Linked DNA regions of Rattus norvegicus. The main gene of each other region encodes a partner of the protein of the gene in region 4 in a complex. Links are inferred from orthologs where the notes say so. Each region holds a gene or a part of one and is shown on either strand. Other genes may lie near its edges.

Region 1 (3,241 bases), on a different chromosome or scaffold from region 4:
TCTAGAGAGCCTGGGGCACCTTTGAATTTCCTGAGACACTTTCCTTCACCAGGGCCCCAAAGCCCAGTGTTCAAAATCAAGGAGAAAAAGGGAGCGGTGTGACTCCAACTTCCGTCCTGTCAGTCTAGGCTTAGGGTGGTATTAGCCCTGAGCTCTGGAGGAAATACCCCACCCTGAGATTGGAGTATCACAGAGCCAAGCCTCTGATTTCATCCTGCCACCAGCTGGACCCTGACCCTATGAGCTGAGAGGTCGCCTATATCTCGTTCCCAGATCCCCTTTTCCTGTAGCACCAACTTCCCCTCCACCCTCCAGGGTAGCCAGCTCCTGGCTGTCCATCCCTAATGCCCTGGATTGACACCTCAGACTCACTCATAGTTAACATGTTGTATAGATTGACTTTTCGGAGGTAAGTCAAAAGTCAGTTTGGGTGTAGGTCTAACTGTCTTCAAAGAATGCCGTGAGCTACAGGAAGTGGCAAAAAAAAATGTCTTAGTCAGTTCAGGTTGCTTAGAAAGTGCTTTTATTTTCACTCTATTTATACTGGCTGCCTGAATGGTGTATTTCCTGCTTCAGGCACTTGCAGGTCCTCTCCGAAGTCTACTCGTGGACGTGGACGGGCTACCAGCCCCTACCCCTGCCGAACTGTGCTGGCTCCTTCTTGGGAAAGGCAGTTCTCGGTTGTACTGACATGCAGTTGTGTTGTCCAATCTGCACTTCAGAACAGTTGTTTAAGACAATAGACTGTAGCCCTTTAAGAGGAAAAGGAGGTAGTGGTAGTGAGAGGGTTCAAAAGTTAGAAAGGTTAACGAGCACTTTGGGGCGAGGGGCAGCGACACCTTGTGTTCATCCGGGGGAATGCAAACGTAGGGTCTTCACCTGCTCGCAACTGGGTCTCACTATGAGCAGTGCCTCTTCAGAATTAGTCTTGTAGAAGCTCAAAGGAGTAGTGCTTGCTGTTTGGGTGTCTTTGATGGGAGACTCTCTGGACTGCCTTAGTCATAGAGGAACTGTGGGGGCTCACAGACTTAGTGCTGGGGAAAAGTTAGCAGGTTCCGACTTTGGCTGTGTGACCTCAGTGGGATCCTCTCCTAATGGATGTCAAGTCCCTCATGTATTAAACAGAGGCAGACTGGGTTAGGTGATCTATAGTCATTCCTTTCCAACTCCAGAGTAACTGGAGTCCATAGATGGGTGCTGAGGAAGAAGGTGATGGGAGAGCTGAGCAGGGAGGGCAACAGAGGATGAAGAATGGGTACCTGTCATTGGATTTGGTGCGTTCCAGGTGTACCAAGGATTGCTGTTTCTTCCATCTCCCTGCAAACAACACAGAGTTCTCAGGCTTTCTAAGAGGCTAATCTCATCACCATGAAGTTCTCCTTGCTAAGAGGGCGTGCTCTAGTCTTGCCAATGTCTCACCTGATTCCTTTGGGGGTCAGGACCTGGAGTCTCAGTAAAGGCTGGCCTAGGTGTTGTGCCTCTGGAGGGTAAAGTATGTGGAATTTGGGGAGTGCCAGCCAAGGTGTCAGATGATGTCCCTGCTGGTGTGGCATGCCCAAATGATGCTTCCTTTCCTCTCCTCTCAGTAAGACTTGTGAGTCTTTCAGGAACTGATCCAGAGGGCTCCTCCAGATGCAGGCGGTCCAGCATTTCATAAACTATGGTTTCCCTGGGGCAATCCACCTCTGTACCTTTTTGGCTGGACTCTCTGGCAGACAACTTTGTGTCACTGCTTCTGTACTGAGACAGATAATGCTTTACCTGCGTAGACAGGAGGACCTTGTGCGTCAGGAGCTGGGGCAGCCAGAGTAAGCCCCAGTGAATATTTTCTTGGTCTCTGGAGACTAAGGAGTAGGTTTGGGTGAACAGGAATGAGAGTCAAGGATTAAATAATGGTAGACAGTGGAGATAAACCGGGTGGTTGAGGGAGCCACTGAACAGTTCCGGGGTGGGAAGGCAGTGTTAGAAACTCACCTTGGAGACAGCAGCATCTACCTTGTCCTGTACCAGGATGTAAACATTATTGGTTTTTGATTCACAGTCTGAAAGACAACAGAGTTGTAGATGAGTAGGACTTCTTGGAAAAGCTTCCTGCTGAAGACCCAAACTATCCTAGTGCCAGAGACATGGGTTACTCACCTTGGAAGGATGGCCTGTCTTTAGGCTCAGAACTCCAGCAATGCGTCATTAACTCCTTCAGTCCTTCTAAGCCAGGAGTCTCAGGGCTGTCCGGAGGCAGCTCTGTCAATGGAGGTCGCCTCTGCCTGTTACACACTGCTCCACGAATTAGTGAGGTCTTGTCTACCACTGGAGTCGGGGGTAACAAAAGAATTCATGAAATGAGGAGACACCCCATTCTATCACGGACAGAAGAAGGGAGAGCCATCCAGGCAAGAGGCGAGGTGGGAAGAGGGCAGTCTTAGTAGGTCAGGGAGGGAGGGCTCTAGGGGTTTTAGATGCTTTCGGGCACCTGAGCTAAGAGTCCATTTAGAGTCTTACCCTCAGCTTCTCTTCCAGCCAGCACTGTCCACACGAGGACCCCAAAACTGTACAGACAGAAAGTGGAGGCTTGGATGGCCTCTGGCAAGACTATTTTCCCATATCGTACCCTTTAGAAGGGCCCAAATAGGTATAGAAATGTGGAGTGTATTTGGGGCGGACAGTTTACCTGTAAACATCACTTGCTTTAGAAGCCTTTCCGTCATTATCCAACAGCTCTGGGGCCAAGTAAGCTAGGGTGCCCCCAGAATCTCTCGATCCTGACCCTGACCCTGACTGTGACCCTCCCTGAAATGTGGACAGGCCAAAGTCTGCTAACTGTAAAGGAAAGGAAAAGGAAGGTATTAGATGAAAAGGGCCAGAGATTTTTTTTTCCTCTCTTGCTCCCAGAAGATGCAGCCTCAGCTTTTGGGAGGTGGTATGGAGGAGCAGAGGGAAGATCGAGTCATTGAGACCTTAGCAGGAGATCTGAGTTGCTAATGGGCAGGCAAGCCTGAGATAAGTCAGCCTGGGTCCATGGGGGGTGGGGAGGGCTTTAGGCCCGTGGAACTGACCCAGGAGGGTAAGGAGGACCTCTCATAAGGAGGGTCAGCTGGTCTGACTAGAGGTAGAACTCCTAGGTGGGTCTTGTCACCCGTGTAGCCTTGACAGGCCAAGGGTATTCAACACAGTCCCAAGCCTACACTAGGTTGTAGATGGACTAACCTTGGCGTGGAGCTCTGGATCCAGCAGAACATTGGAG
Region 2 (4,313 bases), on a different chromosome or scaffold from region 4:
CTGATGCCCTCTTCTGGCCTGCAGGGTATATGCAGATAGAGCCCTCACATACCTAAAATCAATCAATAAATAAATCTTTCATAGTCTTAAGATTTATATATTATGTATAGAGTACTCTGCGGGTTGAGGGACATTTTTAGAGGGGTCGCCTAAGACCCTTGGAAAGCACAGATCTTTACATTACGTTACAGTTACATAACAGTAGCCAAATCCCAGTCAGGAAGTGTTGACGAAGGTAATTCCTATGGCTGGGGAATCACCACAGCGTGAGGAACTGTATTAAAAGGTTGCAGAGTTAGGACAGTTGAGAACCGCTGACCTAGGAGGCCCTGACTCCTTCCAGGTCTGCTAATGTAAGGAACAGAAGGGAAGACCTGTAAAGGATGCTCAAGAAAGAAGCGAGGAAAGCGGGCATGTCCTGAAGCCCGGTTAAGTCTGAAGCCACCTTGGCCAGGGATCAAGCAAGACCCCCTGGGCAACAGGCGGTTGGTGAGCAGGCACCACCTAGTGGTCAGTCTCCAAAATGACATCTCTAGGGAACTGGGGCAATGTCCCCCAACAGGCCAGGTTGAGAGCTTGTTTAAAAGCCACCTTATTTATTTTGGGTGCCACAGGCAGTGCAGTTTCTGTTTTCCTTGGCTGGTTCTGCAGGCACTGTTTTTCCTCCCTGGAAGTCATAAAAAGCACTTGGAAATGTTAAAGTTTTCCCAAGCTGTGCGGATCTGGCCTGATGGTGGCCTGCCTGGTGACCTTTTCAGGCTCCGAGAGGTAAAGCTGACTGGGGACCTGCTGCCAGCTGCTTGCTTTGCAGACATCACCTCCTTCTGGTCTCCATTGACTGTTCCTGTCCCGCCCTGTGCACCAGGGACCTGCACACCAGACAGGTCCCCCCACCCTGTAGCTGGGACCCAGATTCAGGGATTATTATGGGCTGAGTGGTGAACACAAGGCCATCTCTGTGAGTCTCCATCCCCCTCTCCCGTAATATGGACAGAGAGGTGTCTGAACTGTTCTCGGGCCGCTGAGAATTTATGAAAGTGAAAGGAGTCTGTCTCTTCTTCTAAAACATATGTGGGTAGACAGTACTAGACCAGGCAGGAGAGGCACCGTGGGTGCCTTTTCCTAGATCACCATCTTCCTCCTCACAGGGCTTTCAGAGTCCTCTTCAGGTCTCACTCTTCCCGTGGGCAGTCCCACCCCAGAGGCCAAGACCCCGCTCTTTTCTGTCACATGGTCTGTCCAACTCCAGCTTCCTCATCCACCCTGATTTTGACAATTCTTTCATTCGAGAATCACACCAAAGTTTCATTTTCTGTTTCTTCAGAAAGCCAGAGGGCGGGGAAGGGGTGCAGCCAGATGGGTATTAGTTTCCGGGGTGGTAACAGCTGGTGTCTGCAGGTCCAAACAAGCATTCTTTCTTGTGGACTCAGAGCCCCAGGCCTGGCCACAGTGCTGGGACCTGCCACCCCCACCCCTAAAAGTGCCCCACGGCTGCTGGGAGCATGGCGGAGGCTTCTGTGGACCTGGGCACGGGAGGTAAGTTAAACTCTTCCTTCACCACCTTTGGGTCCTGGGTGAAGTTTCTACGGCTCCTGGCTGTTTCCTTAGCCCAGACGGCAGCAGGACTCTGAGGTCACCACAGAGAAGTCAGCTTGCTTCAGGGATCCTGTGCCCCAGATCCTTCATGTCCTCTTACCTCATAGATGAGGTCACCAAGGCCTGTGACAGGCCTGGGGCTCTGAACTGTCATCTCGAGAGAGGACTTTGCTTTGATAGGAAGATGTGACTTTGATTTTGTAGTCAAGCTTTTCTCCTGCCCTAGTCAAATCCTTGCTGCAATCATGTAGTCCATCTAGGGGCTTCTGGGCTATGGGAGGCTACGGGGTGCAGGGCTGTGTGAGGCTGCGATGCTGTGGACAGGATTTAATTTACTGCTTGTCTAGGTCCTTCTGGGTTATCCTTTCTTATTTCAGACCTGGAAACATACTAGAAGTTGCTGCTCATAAGCTATCAGGGAGGGGCCAGGCCAGGTGCCAGTTTCTTTCCTGGGCAAAGAAGACCAGGAACTAAAACTCGCCTGACTCCTGTAGTTTCCTAACACTACTAACCTGTCCAGCCTTACCAACTCCAGTCTTCTGCTTCCTAACGTCCCGCTTTCAGACCCTGCAACCAGTCCTTCAAGCCCACCCTTTGGGGAAGGCTTTGCCTCTCTTGTGTGTCTTTAGGGGTCAGTGGGGGAGGGGAGGGGAGGGGAGCCTGCTACACGACACACTCCCCAGCAAAGGTTTCTCAAGGCAAGGCAAAGCCAACCCAGGAATAGAGATGCTAAGTCCTCTAATTCCAGCACTGCAGTGGGGGTGGATCTGGGGCTGAAGCAGGAGGATTGCTGTGAATTTCAAGCTAGCCTGAGCTATATGGTAAGACTTTGTCAGGAGAGGAAAGAAAGAAAGTTAAAGGCAGACACACGGACAAGCAGACGAACCTGCTGAAAGGAGCATGAGGTGGGACTTGGGGGACCCTCGGGGTTAGGCACAGAGGAGGCTGGTTGGCTAGCAGAGGCCCATCGAAGCTCCCGGTGGAGGGATCTGGGGGCAAGCTTTCTGGAGTTGGTGGCCATCTGGAAGATGGCTTCAAGGCCCAGGTAAAAGAACTGAGCTGGGTTTTCCGGGGCTCCTGCTCTATCAGGCATGGGAGGAGAGACCCATTTCTCTTATCTGCTGGACTCCTGACCTGGGAACACCCACACCATAGATGTGGGTGCTGAGCTGGAGAGAAAGGGAGTCCCTGGCCGGGCTGGGAGAGACATCAAGACACCACGGAGGGACTTCAGGGCCAGACTTGGTTTCACACCTCTCCCTCTTGCTCCATCGTCTGAGGGCTGAGGGTTCCTACCTGCTTGACTTCCACATAGTACACAGGGCAGGCTGCATATGACTTTACCACTCCAGACATCTATCTGTGGAGCCAGCGTTCACCTGACTGACACCCTCGCCTCCGACTGGTATCCTCGCTTACTGTCTGCTTGGCCCAGGTCACGGGTGCCTTCTCTGCTCTAGGGTCTCTCCGGAGATCCCTCCTGTGCCCGGAAGCTTGGATGCAGGGTGTCCCCGGGGACTAGGCTTGACTCAGTTCTTCTCTGTGTTCCTCCCCGAGACAACCTGGAGCAGAAGATCCTGCAGGTGTTGAGTGATGCTGGTAGTCCTGTGCAGATCGACCAGCTGTTGAAGAAGTTACAAGTGCCCAAGAAAATCCTCAACCAAGTCCTTTACCGCCTGAAGAAAGAGGGCCGAGTGTCCTCGCCGGCGCCAGCGACGTGGTCCTTAGGTGGAGATGGGGCTTCCGGAGATGGGGCTCCCGAGATCCCTGAGGACTCCGCTGCCCAGCCTAGCCTTGGTAATCTGTCACGTCGGCAGAGCAGAAGCCCCTCCCCCCACCACCACATACACCCCTTAAGAGCCATCTTGTCATAGGCAAGCCCAGATTCAGGCTTGGCTTCAAATCTGAGCTCGGCCATCCCCTCTCTGTCTCTGGATTTCTCCCGGCCAATGGAGCTAATGTTGAGCCTAGGGCTTAGCCATAGAAGGCTTGCAGTAGACAACAGCAGGGTCAAAGACACAACCCAGGCAATAGTCACAGCGAGAGTGAGGGCTGACGGTAAGTAAGGATTCACTCAGAGCCTTCGGGTGACTTTGAGAGCCACGGAGAAGAAAGGACCCACAGTTCCAAGTGCTGACACTGCCCCCGCCCCCCCCCCCCCCACACCAGAGCCATCTTGCCTTCATTCAACCCTCAGACAGAGACAGGAAAGGAAGCAGCCTCAACCTTCAACAGACAGCATCCATGACCCAAGCAGATCGGAAGCCCTGGGACCCAGCCTAATGTGCTGTCCCCCAGCTCTCCGGAGAAACTATTCTGTTTTTAATGGAGCAGGGCATCTCCTGTCTTCAACTGACACATCCTTCTTCCAGTCCCAAGACCCTAATGAGATGTGGGTGCAGCTCCAGAGAGTCCTGGCCTGCATCTCGGTGCATGCTGGAGGCCTCCCCAGACCCCTGAAGCTCCATGGGAGTGTCAGAGGCCAGACTCACTGTTAGAAGAGAGAGGTTCTAAATGGTGAGATGTGGGCTCTGACACCCCTGCGTCAGTCTGCGCCAGTCTCTAGGGTGAGAGCCTCATCCGCTTGGTCTCCAGAGGACCACTGTCCCCAAGATGACCCAATATGTGCTTCTGACAGACCCTCGCCATGTCCCTGGGCTTCACGAGTATCCCAGGCCACAGGCAGTAGGTGGTGGGTAGATGCAAGCCCAGGGCTC
Region 3 (4,253 bases), on a different chromosome or scaffold from region 4:
ATAAAATGGAGAGCAAATCAAGGAAGATACCCCACCCTGAACTCTGGCATGCATACGCAGACAGACAGACCAACGGACAGACGGACACACACATGTATGTCACACACACATACACACCAGAAATCAATTAATCAGTTAATTAGTAAACAAATAGAAAACAGGCTTGAATTCCAGAGCAACCTGCTTACAACAACTAGATGCAGTTCTCAAATATTTCATGTGTGCAGCTGACAGGACTGAATTTTATATTATATTTAATTTTAATTAAAAACAAACTCAATTTGGTTTCTAGAAAAATCAGTGTGATTAAAATTACTTGAATATGTAAACCTACATTTTCAACTGTAAATTTTGTGAATTTTAAATATATATAAATATAAATGTAAATATAGATGAAAATTTACCACCAGAAATTACGTTCTCTGAGAACAAAATATATGCCAGAGTTTTGAAGACTCAGTAAATATTTTGGATACTTTGACTTTAATCAAACATATTGGGCTGCTGTTATTGGGTTTTGCTTTTGTTTTTTAAGGTAGCTACTAGAAAATGTAAGTGTATTTATTTATATTATATTTCTATTGGGTGATATTTTCCTGGTACAGAGACTACATGTGTTAGAATTACATGTTTTCACTTTCTAGCTCTGTGATGGGATCAAAGATGTTTTCTAGTACTTTGATGAAGAATCGTCTGATGGTCCCTACTGCACAGACTCCACGTGAGATGTGGCTAAATTACATAAGTATGCAATTCATAAGGTATACCTGACACCTGGTGTGCACAACATATGTTATTATTATAGTGTGAAGTTTATATTTATCATGCTATGGGGAGAGCAAGCAACTAAAAGAGACTTTGAAATGTCAGACAGCATTCTTCTTCTTAGAAAAGCCTCACGACAAACATCCACTCCACCAGACTCTGGACAACAGATGCCTAAGGCTTTGTTCCCGTGGTGAGCAGCTATATATCAGGTCACTACTTGATGTCGATTGAACGGCTTCTTACAAATCTCCAAAAATCACAACTACAGATGGGTGTCCAGATTTAACTTAGAAAAATGCCCTAGTAAAAGGTGGTACCAAGACAGGAGTATATAAATCAGGCTCTGACCCTAACTTGTACTTATCTCATGGGGTTGATTCGCCATCAGTTAAATATGGACAGCAGGAGATGGTACTATGAGGATTTAATATGTAACATGGCAGAGAGAGCTCTCCAAACCACACAGCGCCGTGCCAGTACCAACATGCCTTCCCCTGAGAATGATTGCTGCAGGTCGGGCTGCCCCCACGACAGATTATGCAGTTGCGTCATGGGAGTATCCCAAAAGACCCAAACTTTGCTACACTCCCTATGAACTTGTGATTAAACAGCCAACCCGTATGTCTTAAAAACTTGCAAAACTCCTTTTTAAAATAAAAAATGCAAAAGAGACGCATTTGAGAGATAAACCAGGAAATCAACAGCCGTTGTTCACAAATCAGCTCATTTTGTCCAGTCAGGCATCTTACAAGTCTGAGAGGAAGTGAGTCATGAATCAGACAAGATTTCTTCACTATTTCCAAAACAAGTATAAGTATGTATAGCACATAGTTTTCATTAAGAACGTGGGCTGGGCCTGTGTGGTGTAACTCAAGTTGGTAGTGACTGTGTCTCTTTGAGAAGGTAATATTTAAACAGTTGTGGGGATAAATAGAAAGAGCAAGTCTCATATCTTGGAGCTAGATTCAGGGGAAGGTATACAGCCTTGTCTATGTACTAAATCACACAGGGCCTTCCACTTCAGAGTGGCTATGCTGTGTGCTCATTCACCTCCCTGAAGCAGTAAACTCTACGTTACAGCATTTCCCCAAAACCCACATCAGAAATCATTTTCTGGGTAATGATAAATGGCATGTCCCCGCGAGATGTATGAATGGTACTTTTGAAAACACGACTATCACAGTAGGCATCATTCTGTATAAAGACTAATCTTAAGCGAATTGTTTAAAAAGAAGAAAACAGACATGGAAAAGGAAACATCATATGAAGGGATATAAGACGGTCACACAAGATTCAAATATCTCAATGGACAGAACACACATGAATTAGACTCACAGGTTTAAAAGGAATGCTAAACTGGATTAAAACCCACTGTGGCTCCTAGGGTGTTTACAAAAGATACATTGGGGAAACTGAAGTGCTGAAGAGTCGCGAAGCAGAAATGTGGACCTATGTATCAGGCACTAAGCACAAAAGCCCTAGTTAGAACAGCTCTATTAATATTAGTCAGAGAAGACTCTAAGACAAATAGTGCCATTAAGGACAGAGTTGCTATACAATGATTAAATGTTAAAGTCACTAAGGCAAATATAACAGTTCTAAACAGTATGCCCCTCACTGAGTAAAGCCAACAGCTGTGAACAAAGTCTGACAGTTCTCCATGAACAAATGACAAATGTGCCTTGAGGATCGGGACTTACAAAACAGTTCCTTCGATAACTAAAGTTTTAAATAGCCAAGAATAAAATAACATAAAAAGCAAAAAGATTTAAAAACATAATTAACAACTATGTTCTGATCCATACTTAGAAATATCTACCACGCTTTCAGTAAGGGCACAAAGGTTATCAGTGACTTTCAAAGAGTCGTTACTGTATTAGTTTCTTTTCTGCTTTGATAAAATGAACATCAGCAGCATAGGGGAGAAGTAGATTTTATTTTTACTTACAGGTCCATGAGGGTGGAGTTCTTCAGGCCAGGGAAAACATAGTAGCCAGTAAGAAAAGCGTGGCAGCAGGCAGGACAGGAGGCAGGCGAGTTGTAATTCTTTCTCATACAGGAAGCAGAGTTACAAGTGAGACAGCCTATCACCTCTCACAGCCCGCCCTCAGTGTCCCACTTCCTCCAATAAGGTTTCTCCAGTAAGTTCTACTTTGTGAAAGTCCCAAAACCTTCCCAAGCCACCAGCAGGTATACAAACCTCTGCAGATATCATAGGAACACTCTTTCCCCCAAATTCTAGGGATTTCACTACGGAAGTGGGAAAGAAGTGGGATCCAGTTGGAAGTAGACCGAAATGAATTTTCTAATACCTAATAAAGTAAAGGAAATGGAGATTAAAAGCATACATAATTTTTGAAAAAATGCCGGGCCACTTGAACATCTGGGATTATGGAATAACATGATCTGCTTGACTTGACATGTCTTCGATGGGAAGGTTACTTAGAGTTTCAAGCTCCATGCTTTCAAGCTAATGTGACATCATAGGCTTTCTGCCATGCCGTTATTCTTAACTTATATCGAGAAATTGCTCTCTACCCCCTATGTTGCTTTTCCCCTTCAGCTAGAAACCAAAAACCCTCTTCTAAATATAAATCCATGTCAATAAAACACCTACAGACCAACACACCCAGAAAATCAGAGTTCCTTTTAGGCTCAGTCTGGGTCAACCCTCTGAACAATATGTTCTAATTCCTGCCACAACCAAATGCACTTTCTTTTGTAAAGGTCTCAGTTGTAGTACAATAAAAGATAACGTGTGTTCCACAGTCAACTGAGGGTTTAGAACCAGGCTCCCTGCAGCCTTATTCTTTTCTGGAATATAATCCTTCCTTCTAACCACAGAAGCCCATGACTCCTCTTTCCTCCTAATTTACTGATTAGCAAAATGGTCCTAAAGCTTTTTCCGGAAAATTTCTGACATACCTTACTTACCTCCCTGGATTTTTCTCTCTGCAGCAGCCTAAGTCCTCAATTCGGGGACTGGTGTAAATCCTGATAGTTCAAACCATTCACCTCACAAAGATGTTCACTATTAGTGGTAGGACATGAAAATCATGAAAATCAGGTCTTGAGAGACAGAAAGTACTTACTGCCTCCTTTCACTTTGAAACTTGGCAAGTCTTAGCCCTGTAGCTGAGTCCTAAGTAAGCCCTGATGCTGGGGCAAAATAATTATATATTAAGGCTCTGCCCAAACAAAGTCTAGTTTTCAGTTTCCTTTTCCTGACAAGCCTCAGCAGAATTTCTCCTTCAGCTGTGAGGTCTCAACCAGAGGTATTTTAGACATAGGGAACTCCATGAGAGGTAATTCCTGTATTGCCAGGGAGCTCATAGCCTAAGGGGCTAACACAGCCCTGGGCACAGCACCCACCCACTTGCTGGTGGTTGGTTTTCTATGATTTAAATATCAACACAATAAAAAGGTTGGGTTCTGCATAATCAGATCTCTTTTATTACCCAGGATTGTCCTAGCAGCTATAGTGC
Region 4 (3,513 bases):
CTCCATCACCAGCGAGTAATTCCCCTCCTCTATGATGATGCCCAGTAGCTTCACCACTCGATCGTGTCTCAGTCTGTGCATCATCTTCCCCTCTTCCAAGAGAGCCTCATTGTACCTGTGGGCAGGAGAGCAGCTAGGCTGAGCAGGGCTGAGCAGGGCAGGGCAAACCCTTCTACCCAGGTGCCTAAGAAGCTCCAGTGTCCCTGCAGTGCGAGCCATATTGCAAACATTTGTCACAATCAGGTCTGTTCCGGTCTCCTCCAGGCAGACAGGTCCTAGGGGGGCAGGGAGGCTTCTCTTCATCTAAACCCCTCCCTCCTGCCTTGTCTTAGGAACTGGAAGCCGGGCACTCATGGCAGCAAATCAATTAATGAAAAATTCAGCGCTGGTCTGGCCTGATGGAGACTGAACTGGGAAACACAATAAGACAGGCATCCCTCTCAAACCAGCCTGAGGAGGAGAGAAGCCCTCCACCTTTACAGCCTCTCACAGGGTGGCTGGGATTTCCCATGATGGGACTGGCCTCTTTTTGTACCAGGCTTCAGTGTCTGTATCCACGGCTCTGACTTCTTCTCATGGCCTCCCTTACTATCCAGCTTCCTGTCTTCAGGGATGCCTTTCCCACACATTCCCATCAAGCACTAATATCTTTTTAATTAACTCCAAAGTCCTCATCCAACATAATAATAAGAGTTATGGGCACCCTTCATCAAGCCAGTGTGCCAAGTCTCCCCGCAGGTCAGCCTCATTTAAAACTTTATGTGTTTAGCCACAGAGTTGGAGACAACTACCTTCTGCAGTCAGAAACCCATTTCTGCTCCCGACTCACTCAGCGCGGTTGGGTCCCGTGTATACTTTTTTCAGGATGACAAATCCATGGGTTCTGTGGAAACACAAGGACACCTTCCCGAAGCCTCCGCTGTCCAGGTCTTTCCTCTCCAGCAGGTCATCGGATGCCATTTTAATATTGTCCAAGGACATGTCTGGCTGCATCTTGAACGCTCAGAATCTGCAGCCCACCACCTTTGGTTCTTGCTTAGGGCTGTGTCCTATAAAGCAATCAGAGAGGATATTTCAGGGCAAAAAGACCACGATTTAAAAAACCAAAACCAAAAATACTGCATGTTGTCAGGGATAGCGGTACATGCCTGGAATCCTATTACCCAGGAGGCTGAGTCAGGAGGACTGAAGGTCTGAGGCTAGCTTGTACTCCACAGTGAGTCCCAGACCAGTTAGAACAATACAGGGAGTCCTGTTTCAGAACTCCTCAACTCCCGAAGGACCACATATGTGGAGTGCCTTTGTTTTTCTTGAGGAAAAGTATAATCTGTGACATGAGTTGTTCAGCCAAGAGATATAGAAGACTGATTTTTTTTATTCCAGTGGATGCTTCATTTCTGGCATCATGGAACACTAGAAAAAAATGATAACATTCTGTCAGGAAGCTACGTATGTGTTAGCTAACATGGCTTGAGCATCCACCGAAATTCATAGTTTGGTACAGCGGAAAGGAAAAATTCTACAGACAAAAAGTAGACTGAGCACTGGATAGGGGTAATGACTCATATGGTGGCAATTTTACTATTGTAGCTCTAGGTTAGGAGTGGAGGTGGTCTGCAATACAAGAGGGTTGGAGTGAGGCCCTCCTCATAGTTTGGACCTCCTCAGCTTCTCAGTAGAAAGATGGACTGGGAAAAAAAAAAGCCATCGCTACCAATAAATACATGTGTCTATGACTAGGAATGAGGTTAAAAAAGATTCTCTGTGAATTCATAACCTGAGCCATCTTCAAATAAATTTGGGCTTTGTCTTTTTTTTTTTTTTTTTTTTTTTTTCCGGAGCTGGGGACCGAACCCAGGGCCTTGTGTTTGCTAGGCAAGCGCTCTACCACTGAGCTAAATCCCCAATGCCTTGCACTTTGTCTTTAGGACATTCTCTTTAGGGCAGGAGTGATTTCCCCAAACTAAGAATGCTTATGTAGAAAGAGGTCATAGTCTGATGATATTCTTAGATTTTAATGTTAAAACCAACAAAACAACTTGGAGGCATGTTAGACATAAGTTCCCTTTCCAAAAGTATAAATAACAAAATAAAACATTCCTTATGAGCTAGACTATATGTATATAATAGACAGCAGTAGTAAGCACAGGGTAAGAACATCAGGTAATTAGTATATTGAATAATATTAGGAAATATATATGACACAAGTAATTATGAGCGAAGTTAGGGACTAGAAGAATATAAAAAGAATAATGCTGAACAGTAAGACGTGAAAAAGACGTGATGACTCATGAGATCTGCCTATCTCTGAGGAGTGACATTCAGTGTTCCTCAGGAGGAGAACTTGAAGGAGAGTGCCCTGGTGGGTAGGTAGAGGGCAGCCACAGTGCTAGGATGAATGTCACAGCTGAATTCAACATCTTGGTCACCCATACATAGGAGGTTACTCACTATAAACAGTGTCCATTCAACGCAAGCCAAGTTTATTCCCACTCTGAATGCTGTGAAAAGAAGACAGAAAACCTCAAAGGAAGGAAGGTAAAACACAAGGAAACAGTAGCTTATGGGTTTCAATACATTTTAATGAGTACCTAAAAGGTGAAGAAATGACCAAAGAGAAAATCCAGAAGACCTAAGAAGTATATGAAGAACATGTCTGAGGTGATAGCTTTAAAAGGGGTGAAACTATGATAGTCATCTCCCATGAAGTAAAGACTCTTCCTGAGAGCTCTGTCACCCCCAAAGGAAACTGTTCACAGTGGAAGACATGGCCCCAGTGTGCTTCGCTCTGGTTGAAAACCTAAGACATTTAATAGTATTAAGAAGTACAAAAGCACCGCTATTTAGCAGGCCTGGTTTTGGGAATCCTCTTAACACTGTGTCAAAGGTTTTGGATAATTTAGGTGACAAGTTTTCTGTCATTAGGAACATCTAGGTCTACAAGTTGCAGACACTTTATCTTAGAGTTATTCAAGGAATAGACAATAACTCACAAGCAAAGGTAGGGTGCCTATAGTCTTGTCTAGTGGCTTGCGGCAGAATGCTTGGGTATGTGAATCTTCTACACTCTATAGAGGCTTCCTAGAGGACACCAGCATAACAGCACAGCTGATATCAGAGGGGCACATCAAATGATCTTCTCCATCTCAGGCACTGCCAAGGAAGATGACTAGGAGTGGGGCAGCGGCAAAGAGAGGAGGTGGCCCAGATGAAGGAGTGAAGGCTGAGGAGTAAGGAAGGCACTAGAAGCGTGCTAGCAGGAACCATTAAGGGAGTGCAGAGCAAGGATCTTCCTCTGGAGAGTATGAACTCTTAATTCATTTGCCTCGTGACTTTAAGGAACTTACTTAAGCCTCCATTTCCTCATCTGTGAAAGGAAATAACAGCCCATCTTGGGACTGGCAAGGAATTTTATGAGAAAGTAACATGTGAAAATACATTTGCCTGCTTCATAGTTATAGCTACGGTAAGTCCTGTTGTTAGGTTTATAACACCAGGACTCTGAGAATCCAC
Region 5 (3,975 bases), on a different chromosome or scaffold from region 4:
AATAAAGTTCGAGGCAAAAGGGGAGACATTACAACTGATTATCTATGAAATTTAGAAAAATCATATGAGGGGCTGGAGAGATGGCTCAGCGGTTAAGAGCACTGACTGCTCTTCCAGAGGTTCTGAGTTCAATTCCCAGCAACCACATGGTGGCTCACAACCATCTGTAAATAAAATAAATAAATCTTAAAAAAAAAAAAAACCGAAACAAACAAACAAAACACATGGATTTAAAAAAAATCGTATGGATATAACTGAAAAACTTTCATTTGACTCGCTTTTAGAATATAAAAAAAGAAAAAGAGATGAATTTCTAAATTTTTATTAACTAGTAAAAAGAGGCCCCCAGTGTACTTCACCTCTGATGGGCCTGGGGTCCTGGGCTTCGAGCGTCTGCAACTTCCACAGCTGACTCTTCTTGTTACACAGAAGTGTTCTCCCTGCTTCTAGTTCCATAGTTCCCACTGACAGCCATTAGAAACAAAAATAAAAACAAACAACAACACCAAAAACACCCACCTAAAATCAAAGGTTTTCCTACAGCCATCTCACCAAAGAGGCAAACACTGGGCCCTTCACCATGTGAACAAACCTGTGTACAAACACATAAGCTGCTTGCTGGGAATTAGTTAAAATACTGTCTGGTGTTAAAGAGAAGAAAGAGAAAAGAACTTTGAAACTGTGTTTTCTGCTACCTAACACAGAATAAAATAGAAGGTAAGTTTTCCGAGTAAAGGGCCCCAAGTTTACAGCTGAGGGAACTGAATAAGTCACCTGAAAGTACGTGTCCACCCTCAAGGTCTGGGCAAAGGTGACACCACCATATCAGGACTTTTAGCTGGCATTTGATTCTGCCAGGAACCTGGGCAACATTGGAGCAGCAGAATCAAATCCTGTTTGTGCCCCCAATCCACTCCCGGAGTTACTCCAGCATCTTCTGAAACCTCTGCCCCAGTTCCGGCTCACTTCTGAGAATTTCCTGTTCAAGACCACAAACTTCCTGAGGGTAGCAACTGAAGCTTTCACAGTAACACCTGAACCATACAACAGCAGCCTGAAAATCATCAATGAAAAGAAACTCTGTAAAGAGGCAATGGGTATGAACGCGGAATTCCCCGATGGGCACTAAGCCCACACAGATCATAGGATGCCACATTAAATCTGAGGAATGGTAAATAAAGCAAGAAGATGCACACTTTCTTATTAGAGAATTTTAAGTTGAAAGATTAAAAAAAAAAAAAAGCAGCCTGATCGAGTGAAGTGGCCATGCTTGCTGTACAGGCTGTGCGAGAAAGCCTGGTAGTTCCTGGACTTAACCCACAACAGAAATGACCAGGCAAAACCGAATAACACCTAAATGACCCCAGGTGTCACATTCCTCCCCACTGGGGAAGAGACACTGAGGCATACAGCCATGAACAGCAGCTCTTCCGTGTCCACATATGAGTGCTTGGGCCTTCTTAAATAGGATTTGTGAGAAAGGGGAGTGCTAATCACCCTAATGCTAATTCGATTACTACCATGCTTATTAAAAAAACGAAAGATTTGGTGTTGAGAAGGCTCAGGAGTTTAAGAGCACTCACTGCTCTTGCAGACCAACTGGGTTCAGTTTCCAGCACCCATATGGTGACTGAAACTGTCTGTAGCTCCAGTTCGAGAGATCTGTGGTCCCCCTGGACACCAAGTGCACATACATACATGCAGGCAAAACACTCATAGACATTAAATTAAAATAGAGATAAATACATTTTAAAGAATGAAACTGAGACCTAGCCAAGCAGAAGGCACTTAAAGGACTCCCTTTAAAAAATAGTAAGAAATAGAAATATGACAGTATGATAATTCCTCACTGGTACATAATGACAGTCACTGTTATAACTGCTTAGCATGTAGAGGAATTATTGGCCTCAGGCCACCTCTAGCTCTCCCTCTCCCCAGCCCCCTTGCTGTTTTTGTGGTTTTAAGTGCAGAGCTGGTACCCTGTCACTCCCACCCCTTGCACTGCCAGCATTCCTGAGGTGGAAGCAGAAAGATCAGAAGTTCAAGAAGCTCGAGGCCAGATCTTAGAGGGAAAAGGGTCAGGGAGAGGGGAGGGAGAGGGGGAGGGGAGGGGAAGGAGGTGGGGGAGAATGAGAGAATAGGAGGAAGGGAAAGGGGAAGGCAAAGAGAAGAAAGGGGAGAGAACAGGGGAGGGGAGATGTTGGAGAAGTAGAAAGGGAGAGAGGATTTGGGATTAGGGTTGGGGGACGTCTCTTAAGAGTTGGGAGGAGCCTGAAAATCGCCGGAGGAAACCCAACGCAAGTCAGAGAACACACAGTGATGCCACCGGATAATTAACCTGGCTCTAGGTCCTGAGCCGGACTACAAAGAAAGTTAGCCTAAGAAATCGAATAAAGTTTTCTGGAGGAGGCGATGACCGTACTCCGATGGCCGCATTTCGGGGAGCGTCAGGCTAGATTGCCACCGTTGGGATCGCGGCCTGCTGGTAGGAGAGGAACGAACCGGACTACTCTGCAGCACTCACCTGTCGCCGAGTCCCTGCCCCGCCAGTCACAGCTCCCCTCTCGGGCGAGCAACCCCTGGGAGACGCTCTCCGCCTCCGGCTGCCGCTAGCCGGGCTCACTTCCTGTTCCCTGGCCAGTCCGCCAAAGTTTACTATGGATTCAAAGAAGCGGAACTATAAAACACCGGAGGTCAGAGGGAGGAGAAAGGCAACTGAGAGAACTAAGGAGCAGAAATGACTAATTTCTGATAATCACTAGGTGGCATAGGCTGCTTCTCTCTGCCCGCCTTAGGAGCGCCCGCCAGTTCTTAAGGACACTTCCTCATTCCCCCCACCCTAACCCCACCTCCTTGCATACAGAAACCCTATACCTTGTGACTGGATGGGTAAACCAGCTCTAGAAATGTCAGCACTCAGGGAGGTAGGGGCAGGAAGATTAGAACTGGTAAGTTCAGGCTAGCCCAGAGACACTGGAAACACACACACACACACACACACACACACACACACACACACACACACACACACACACACACACACACAGTTCAAAGGAGCCAACTACAAGAAGAAAGTGATTTCGCACTGAATCAAAAAACCAGCAAGGGAGACAGAACGGAACTGCCTGGTTCACACTGTGAAGTTAGATGGTCAAGGGAGACGCTGAAAGAGAAATTTTACTTTGTGGCATGGTCTGAACTCAGCACTGAACTCATGGACCCGTCTCCCCACCAAGATCATATTATAAGGCTGTTCTTAGGGTCACACGGGCCTGCAGTTGAAGCGTTCGGAAGTACACACACTGGAGAAATCCTGGCTCCTAGCCGTGTTCTAGGAATTCATGGTAACATGTTTTTCCACAGTGCTGAGGCAGAATTATGGAGTCCAGAACATCAAGTAGATACAAAGACTAAAATCCCATTTTACCACATACTAACTTCCTTCCCAATACTTGGAGTTCAGAGTGAGCAGTGTGATGAACTACAATTTAAACTGGGCTACAGAGTAACAACTTGTCTGAAGCGGGGTGGGGGCGGGGTTAAAAGGCTGGTCAGGAAGTATGGTCAGGCTATAAAAAACCTCAAGGCTGCTCCCAGAGACTCACTTTCACAACCTCCCCCCAGGTACCGCCACTAGCAAGGGACTAAGTGCTCAAACCTACGGGGGACATTTTGTCAAACCACACCAAAACAGTGTTTCACAAAACCAGTGAAATCTGGTTAAACCAGACCAGTATGTCACCAACACAATCCAGCTGCTACCTGGAGGGTTCCCGAGTGAGGGATGCGTCTGCTAAAGCCACCAGATTGTAATCCAAGACCCATACGAATGGGCCAGTTGTGGTAGATACTTCGTAGTCGGGCTACCCCACCACAGCAGGTATGATTATTTATTGCTGATGAGCAATTAAAGAACAGGGTCAAATGATTAATGAGAGGAGAGCAAAACAGCACCCTGGACAGCACACAGCACAC

Evidence for each region.
Region 1: Ripk1 (region 4) and Ripk3 share a complex: the UniProt entries of both Homo sapiens proteins name them as parts of the AIM2 PANoptosome complex. The link is inferred for Rattus norvegicus from reciprocal best matches to the Homo sapiens genes RIPK1 and RIPK3.
Region 2: Ripk1 (region 4) and Zbp1 share a complex: the UniProt entries of both Homo sapiens proteins name them as parts of the AIM2 PANoptosome complex. The link is inferred for Rattus norvegicus from reciprocal best matches to the Homo sapiens genes RIPK1 and ZBP1.
Region 3: Ripk1 (region 4) and Aim2 share a complex: the UniProt entries of both Homo sapiens proteins name them as parts of the AIM2 PANoptosome complex. The link is inferred for Rattus norvegicus from reciprocal best matches to the Homo sapiens genes RIPK1 and AIM2.
Region 5: Ripk1 (region 4) and Casp8 share a complex: the UniProt entries of both Homo sapiens proteins name them as parts of the AIM2 PANoptosome complex. The link is inferred for Rattus norvegicus from reciprocal best matches to the Homo sapiens genes RIPK1 and CASP8.

What each region holds. Positions count from the first base shown.
Region 1 is NC_086033.1:33,252,571-33,255,811, forward strand, and holds the end of Ripk3 (receptor-interacting serine/threonine-protein kinase 3), read right to left. Parts: coding exon 3,205-3,241; intron 2,818-3,204; coding exon 2,669-2,817; intron 2,547-2,668; coding exon 2,500-2,546; intron 2,308-2,499; coding exon 2,140-2,307; intron 2,043-2,139; coding exon 1,975-2,042; intron 1,762-1,974; coding exon 1,420-1,761; intron 1,318-1,419; coding exon 1,260-1,317; intron 753-1,259; coding exon 622-752; 3' UTR 501-621; downstream 1-500. UniProt on the Homo sapiens protein: Serine/threonine-protein kinase that activates necroptosis and apoptosis, two parallel forms of cell death. Necroptosis, a programmed cell death process in response to death-inducing TNF-alpha family members, is triggered by RIPK3 following activation by ZBP1.
Region 2 is NC_086021.1:182,419,207-182,423,519, reverse strand, and holds the start of Zbp1 (Z-DNA-binding protein 1), read left to right. Parts: upstream 1-1,502; coding exon 1,503-1,536; intron 1,537-3,153; coding exon 3,154-3,393; intron 3,394-4,313.
Region 3 is NC_086031.1:88,397,178-88,401,430, reverse strand, and holds the start of Aim2 (interferon-inducible protein AIM2), read right to left. Parts: upstream 2,810-4,253; 5' UTR 2,717-2,809; intron 1-2,716. UniProt on the Homo sapiens protein: Sensor component of the AIM2 inflammasome, which mediates inflammasome activation in response to the presence of double-stranded DNA (dsDNA) in the cytosol, leading to subsequent pyroptosis.
Region 4 is NC_086035.1:31,070,665-31,074,177, forward strand, and holds part of Ripk1 (receptor-interacting serine/threonine-protein kinase 1), read right to left. Parts: intron 2,502-3,513; exon of another isoform or gene 2,452-2,501; intron 1,414-2,451; exon of another isoform or gene 1,149-1,413; intron 1,050-1,148; 5' UTR 994-1,049; coding exon 830-993; intron 116-829; coding exon 1-115. UniProt on the Homo sapiens protein: Serine-threonine kinase which is a key regulator of TNF-mediated apoptosis, necroptosis and inflammatory pathways.
Region 5 is NC_086027.1:67,756,859-67,760,833, reverse strand, and holds the start of Casp8 (caspase-8), read right to left. Parts: upstream 2,814-3,975; 5' UTR 2,525-2,813; intron 1-2,524. UniProt on the Homo sapiens protein: Thiol protease that plays a key role in programmed cell death by acting as a molecular switch for apoptosis, necroptosis and pyroptosis, and is required to prevent tissue damage during embryonic development and adulthood.